Linked DNA regions of Arabidopsis thaliana. The protein of the gene in region 1 interacts with the protein of each later gene in a pairwise test. Each region holds a gene or a part of one and is shown in the gene's direction. Other genes may lie near its edges.

The links. The genes of interacting proteins can lie anywhere in the genome.
Region 2: the proteins of AT1G31750 (region 1) and U1A interact in a two-hybrid assay, tested with the Arabidopsis thaliana proteins (one large-scale study listed by BioGRID).

The regions. Positions count from the first base shown.
Region 1 is NC_003070.9:11,370,040-11,373,835, reverse strand, and holds AT1G31750 (proline-rich family protein), read left to right. Parts: upstream 1-1,638; 5' UTR 1,639-1,804; coding exon 1,805-2,045; intron 2,046-2,737; coding exon 2,738-3,027; 3' UTR 3,028-3,251; downstream 3,252-3,796. Other genes in the region: AT1G31760 (SWIB/MDM2 domain superfamily protein), read left to right, coding at 422-634, 1,109-1,234.
Region 2 is NC_003071.7:19,515,412-19,519,450, forward strand, and holds U1A (spliceosomal protein U1A), read left to right. Parts: upstream 1-1,775; 5' UTR 1,776-1,817; coding exon 1,818-1,914; intron 1,915-2,032; coding exon 2,033-2,205; intron 2,206-2,482; coding exon 2,483-2,576; intron 2,577-2,774; coding exon 2,775-2,872; intron 2,873-2,984; coding exon 2,985-3,275; 3' UTR 3,276-3,502; downstream 3,503-4,039.

The DNA.
Region 1 (3,796 bases):
ATCCGCCATGTACGAATAGCGACCGGCATCAAACTATTAAACGGTGCCGTTTGTCACCGAAGACTAAAAGTTCATTTTAAATTGCATATTAACCCTTACATTTTACCTTTATTTTCGATAAACATCCTAATTATTTCTCTTTTTTCTGAAGCCCAAATAGGCCCAAACTGAATTTTAGCTATCTTCTTAAATTGCACATTAGCTCTTACATTTACCTTTAATTTCGATAAAACATCCTAAATATTTCGTTTTTTATGAAGCCCAAATAGGCCCATAGTTTATGAAAGGCCCAAAATGAGTTTAGCGATCTTCTTTTAAGAGTCTTTCTTGTCTCTCTCGCCGAATTTTTCTCTATTTGACTGTTGTTAGGGTTTTAGCTTCTTCTCTAGTCGTTGTTTGTTTCTCTTTTCGGAAATAAAAAATGGCGGGAATTTCTAGGGTTTTGGGAGGGTTCAGGACACTGATGTCGAAGGCGGCGACTGTTGAGGCCGTTACTGTAGCCGGAGAAGGAAAAGGGATATTCAAGACTCGTCCGGTGTCACAGCAGCTAGCTAGCTTCGCCGGAGAAAGGGAACTCACTCGTGGTTCCGCTCTGAAGAAAGTTTGGGAGTATGTGAAGCTTCACAATCTCCAGGTTTGTTTGATTTTGGAGCTTTCTAAGGTTTTTACTTTGCGTAGATCTGTTTATGAACTTAGGGATTTGGTTGCTTTAGAGAAGGAATTGTTGCATGTAAACTAAATCGATTAAGCATTTTAGTGGCGGATGATTTGATTGTTATGTAGAACATGGATCTTGAGTAAAATGCATGTTATCTTGTGGTTGAGAATGGATTGTTTGGTTTTGACTATATACATGAAGCATCTTGTGGGTTTGGTTGTGAAGATTACTTGGATTGTTGTGTTGGTCATTATCTTAGAGAACTTGGAATTGTAGTGTTCTTTGAGTTTTGGAATTAGTCTATTTAATGTAATACACACAGATGATGTCTATATGTTGAATTGGTTGTTCAATGTAAACAACAAGCAGCTAATGTAGACCATAAACTTCTCTGTTTTCTGGATTATTCATAGTTTCTGTTTGAGTGATTCATTTCTTGCCTCATTGTAGAATCCGGCGAACAAGAAGGAGATTCACTGCGATGATAAGTTGAAGACGATTTTCGATGGCAAAGACAAAGTCGGAATCACAGAGATCATGAAGCTCCTCTCACCACATTTCCCTAAATCCGTCTGATTTGGTGATGTTTATCTAACGTAGTTGTATCTATCTAAGAAGAAATGGTTTGGCTTTTGTGGTTCATTTCGGGTTGTATATGAAACTCTAAACCCGTTTGAACTTTGGTATGTTAACAAACCAAAACAATAACTCTCTTTTGATCCATCTACCGGAGAATATTATGTAGTTTGACCATTTTATCTTAATATTGTTTGATTTTGTGAAATTACTCCTCTCTCTAATCTTTGATGGCTTTCTGCTCTAATAGTCTAATGTGTCGTGTGAGCAACGATTTCGTTATTATTGTTTAATGCATATGAATGGTCACAATTATTTTATCCTCTGATGGAGAAGAAACGTGTCATGATCAGAAGAGGAATAAGAATGCGTTGTTAAAACGAGCAAGCATCAACGCGTCCATTTCGGTTTAAATCAATAGCTAAGAGCCTTTTTCGCTACACATAACCAAATATCGCACACATGTATGTGTCTAAACATAACATAGTATATAGTTCATTTTTCCATATCTTGTATCTCTCTCTATTCATATCATCTTATTATCTCTCAAGTTCTTGATTTTAATTAAAGATGGGTAAAGACGACCACCACGAACAAGACAAAAGATTCTTCTCACATCATAATCATCACGGCCATGGGTATCCGCCAGGAGCTTATCCTCCTCCACCGCAGGGAGCTTATCCTCCACCGGGAGGTTACCCTCCGCAAGGTTATCCTCCACCACCTCACGGCTATCCACCGGCCGCTTACCCACCTCCACCCGGTGCTTATCCTCCCGCCGGGTATCCCGGACCATCCGGTCCTCGTCCAGGTTATTATTTAATCAAAAATGTTGTCTTATGTGGTTATGTCTCTTAGTCTTAGTTAAACGCCCTTGCTATTAACAAATTAGTCCGATTGGTGTTTGTTTTGAGTGGTGTTTTATATAGTATAGTTCTCAAAAATATTATGAGAAGACAAAATGTTTCTTTAAAGGGATGCATATAGTTAATCTTGGTTCATTCAAAAGCCAAAATAGGTTCTTTAACCAAATCTTGCGTTATGCGATGTGCAATTCCAAAAAGTAAAGCTTGGTTTTAACGAAAATGATAATAAATGATTTATGCTTTGATTTTCTAAGTTTTTCAAATTCGAACAAGAATTTAAAGAAAGTTTCTTGCGGGTTATATCAACCAAAAAGAAACCAATAGTAAAATAATTAATGTCTTGATGAATAATTGATTAAATTCTTTTTATGATATAATATATGTGGCTTTTTGTTCAGTTAAAAATGTTTTTTTGTTTTGTTTAATTTAGAAACATAGAAGAATGTGGCTTTTGTTCAGTGTTTTTTTTTTGTCAACATGGCTTTGGTTCAGTTTAGTATGGATTATAAATAATGCTACAATGTTTTAATATGGATTATAAATAATGTTGGTCTAGTTTTATAAGCCCAATTTGGTTTGATAGGTTCACATGCCAAGTAACCTTTGATTGAATGCTCTCCTCATGTGAATATAACAGGGTTTGGAGGAGGAGTTGGGGGATTGATAGCAGGAGCGGCAACAGCGGCAGCGGCTGCAATGGGAGGTCACCATGCGGGTCATCACGGAGGCTACGGGCACCACGGCCACGGAAAATACAAAAGAGGGTTTTTCGGAGGAGGAAAGTACAAGCGAGGAAAGCATAGTATGTTTGGTGGAGGGAAGTACAAGCGTGGCAAGCACGGTATGTTCGGAGGCAAAAGAAGCAAGCATGGCATGTTCGGAGGGAAACGAGGCAAAGGCATGTTCGGACGAAAGAAGTGGAAATGATCCATTAGCATCCTCTCTACATATATTATCGTAACAATTTAACATTAAGCTTAATATAAAAATGTGGATGTATAATTTGTTTTATATGATGTATATATAGCTATATGTATCTATGAAGAGTATTTAATATGGTTGAAATATTTTTCTTACTGATTAACGTTGATGATCATTTTTTTTTCTTCTTTTTTTTTTGGGAAAGTTTTGTATATATGCATGTATTGGTGAATCAGTTTAATAACTTTTTATGTGGAGTGTTTCTTTTTGTTTGTTTTTTTTGGGGGAAAAAACGTTGAGAATAATATGGATTTAGATAATTAAAAGTTTATGTGAATTTTCAAGAATTTGTTTGTTTGGGAGAGATCTACGGGTTGTTTTTTTTTTGTTTTTTGGAATATTGAGAATAATATGGATTTAGAGAAATCTGTTTAAATTTTCAAAAATAATTTTTGGGAAAGATATACGGGATCTCCAACAACAAAATTGTTGTAATCGAGTTCTCCATCGAGATTAATATAGGTGTATAATTCCAATGAACAATATCATTTGGAATTTGTAAGAAAGAAAATCTATTAAAAGATTATTTTCAAAATCTGTTTTTTTTTTTTGTGTTTACCAAGTCAGCTAAGATTTTTTCTAAGTGAAAAACTAAATGGATAAATAAACCCACAATAATAGGGATAATAAGCTGATTTTTTTTTTTTTTTCGTCAGAAAAAAATACTATGATTTCGATTTTGAAGTGGAAATGTTGTTGAAGTTGGGGAGTGAAA
Region 2 (4,039 bases), on another chromosome or scaffold:
AGCAATCAGAAAGAAAGACAGTGACTGACGCCAATATCTTAGACATTACAAAGATGAGGAAACCCAACGTACGTTCTTCACTTACACAATCTAATCATAGCGTGAGAAGATCTTTTGGATCAATTAAAGGTATTGACAAAGAGAGTTACCCAAATGAAAAAGGATCAAACATTTGATCTAATCCAAAACCCGATAATGCGCAAATAAAAAAGGAAAAGACAAGTTTTGAAAGTCGAAAGGTAACCGATTACTTCAGAAAAATTTCAAGTATTACTCTAGTTCATCAGAAATCCAATTTGCCATTTATGATAACTAATCAAATCAAATACTATAAGGAGCAAAAGCAGAACTAAAAGAGAGAAAGATTTTCTCCTACTTAGTTTTCATATATATATATCATTATAGCAATGTAAAAGTATAATCCATAATAGTTAAAAGATAAACTCAAGTCATACACAGACTGACCATGAAGTTTCGTAGCTAGGCTTAGACCTTGAAACCTCTGCTCCTTCTTCTTCCTCTTGCTATCTCAATTTTTTTACCAGTTTGACGTACATACGGTTTGGTGTGGCTGTGAGGCACACCAGGAGCTGGTCCAAAGTGCTTCACTGCTTCACGTGTGTTCTTAGGACCTCTAAGCAGAACCTGCAATCATTACGGAATGCTACATCAATCGCTACTGCAATAATAAAAAGTGAAAATATAACCCTTGTAAACTGAGTACAAGTGGTCCTCGAGATAGATATTCTCTAATTTTCATCGAGATAGCCTTTTAAACAAAGGCTTACAAGCCACTAGATTTTGAAAGTTAGGACAGTAACCTCAAATTCCAATCATCATGAAACGAGACATAGTAACTGAACTAAGCTACATACGTCACGAACAAGTAAACGATTAGCACAAGTTTCCACATTTCGACAACTGAACTAAGAGTGAAACAAGAATGGGATATACCGTGTTCTCTGACCAAGTGGGGCACGGAAGAGCGAGCTGATCAAAAGTGAGGCACTCTCCACCAGCCTTGTGGATCCTAGCTCTAGCGCTCTCAGTGAACCTCAATGCAGTAACTGTAAGAGCCGGAACATCTTCGATTCTAACATCATCAGTCACAGTACCAACAATAACAGCAATCTTTCCATCCTAATAAAATCAAACACACAGAGCATTAGTTCATGAGTCGCCACCAAGTAACATAACATCGAACTCAATGCAGTAACAACCTAAACAACAACAAAATTCAAACCTTTCCGTCCATGTATCGGACCAGACGAGAGAGAGACAGTGGCGCTTTGTTCACTTTGCTCATGAACAAACGCTTCAAAATCACGGCATTGAACTTGCTTTCTGTTCTCCTCACCAGATATCGGTTCGCCTAAAAAAAAAAAAAATTTAATCTCTGACGGATTTTTAGTCAAATCCTCAACCTTGACAAGGAGCTTGAGATAGACATCGTCGGATTTAGGCTCAGTACGTTTCGTCTTCTTGCTCTTACCTCCGGCTATCAAATCGATACCCTAAAATGATGAAACACACAGAAGAAGCCCAAAGTGAGAGTCAAAATCTAGAAAGAAGCAGAACCGAAGATTGCTTGGGAGTGAAGATAAGAAGTGAAACTACTAATAATATGTATCAGTTTAGGGTTTTTGATGGGCTAAATATATTAATCGGCCCACTAATAAGAATATTGGGCTAACTGATGGGCTTATTAGGGCTTTAGGAGGAACAGAGTTAAACCTCACTTTTTTTTATTAATTCGATTTTGGGTGGTTCCGGCTAATAATCTTCTCCGAATTCGACGGAGAGATTTGGTGAAGACGATGGAGATGCAAGAGGCTAATCAAGGAGGAGGATCGGAGGTTTCTCCGAATCAGACGATTTACATCAACAATCTCAACGAAAAAGTGAAGCTTGATGGTACTTAATTTTTTTTTTTTTTTTTTTTTTGTTTTATCGTCTCGTATATCTTCTTCTTCTCCTCCGATTTGAGTTGATTGATCTCTTCATTGTTGTTATTGGTAACTTTGTTCTACAGAGCTGAAGAAATCGCTGAATGCAGTGTTCTCTCAGTTCGGGAAGATACTGGAGATATTGGCGTTTAAGACCTTTAAGCACAAAGGACAAGCTTGGGTAGTCTTCGACAACACCGAGTCTGCTTCCACTGCTATTGCTAAAATGAATAATTTTCCTTTCTACGACAAGGAGATGGTACCAATTCCTTCCACTCCAGTTACTTTCTTGATAACTTCTTCTTACTCGATGTGTTTTGGTTTGCCTATTTGCCCCTAGAGTTAGTGGAACACCTAATTAGGGTTTGAATCTACTGATTAGAGAGCTTTTCTTAGTGAACCACATGGATTCTATTTGAAAGACCCTTTATATGTTTAGTGGTTGCTTTTAGGTTATTGACCATGTTTTAGGTTGTGGAAATACTTATCAATCACTTTGCTATATTATTAATTCCTAACTTTAACAATGTGGACAGAGAATACAATATGCCAAAACAAAATCAGATGTTGTTGCCAAGGCCGATGGTACATTTGTTCCTCGCGAGAAGAGAAAGAGACATGAGGAGAAAGGTGACACTTTTTTTTTACTTCATTGCTTCATTGGCTCACTTTGACCATTACTGCATATGTGTACATGAGATTTATTGCTCTGTTTCTCATTCCCACATTCTGCATTTGATCATTAGTAGTCACATCACATTCACATTGCTTCTCCACAACCTACAAACAGTTTGTTTTCGCATCTAAATATCGTCTTTGGAAGTGCAGGAGGCGGCAAGAAAAAGAAAGACCAGCACCATGATTCTACACAGATGGGCATGCCCATGAACTCAGCATATCCAGGTGTCTATGGAGCTGCACCTCCTGTGAGTTATTTCAACATCTTCTTAACTCTAATCTTGATTCATACGTTTGGGGGACGCTCTTAATTCTTTTCCTGTATTCTGATGATCGTTCTTATTGCCACGCTTTTCACAGCTATCGCAAGTACCATACCCTGGTGGTATGAAACCCAATATGCCCGAGGCACCAGCTCCGCCAAATAATATTCTCTTTGTCCAAAACCTTCCTCACGAGACAACTCCAATGGTGCTTCAGATGTTGTTCTGCCAGTACCAAGGATTTAAGGAAGTTAGAATGATTGAAGCCAAACCGGGAATCGCCTTTGTGGAGTTTGCTGATGAGATGCAGTCGACGGTCGCAATGCAGGGACTTCAAGGTTTCAAGATTCAGCAAAACCAGATGCTCATCACGTATGCCAAGAAATAGACAATTTCGTTTTATTTGTGTTTCGATGAGATATGTTTGTATCTGTCAATGTTACTTCTTCCATGGTTTGCGCAAGAAGGAAACTTGTCTTTCTTGTGTGTTTGTTGTAGAATTGCTTAGAATATTACACAATCATCTAACTTACAATTTTTTCATCCAGACAATAAGCGTCTCGATTTGGTGTTTGTCTATCTAATATTTCGTCACCTTCTTCCACTTATGGATAAGCCTCTTCTTCCATATTTGATCAGATAACTGAAGACCTTTAATTTGACTGATTAAACGAAACTATAATGAATTAAAGTAAAAAACTCGCAAAGTGAACTTTAAACTAAAGGTTTATGGATGATTGGTTTGTTCTTTTTTATTTACGAATTCTTGGATATCTAATAAAAGAGAAACAAGAAGCAATCATTATTTGATGTTGGATTGGTGAAAGAAAAGTCTTTGTAGTGTAGCTGTTTTTCTTTGTTGCTGATGAGGTCAGCGATTATTAGGTCCAAAACTCGTGCGTCAAGAGAATTGAGTGAGCTCTCTCCTTTTTTTGAAATATTGGGCGAAGGACACTCCTCCATGCATTTAAGTTATCAAAAGCATTAATTAGACGATGGTTCAATAAATGAGTGAGCATTTAGTGGGAAACACGAGTGTGATACGGACACGTAAAAGCATTAATGCATGTGTTTATAGATTTGGTGATGACTTCATTGTCTGACTCTGTCTCCTCTTTTTACAAGACAAAAGATTTGTTGCTGATTCATCTC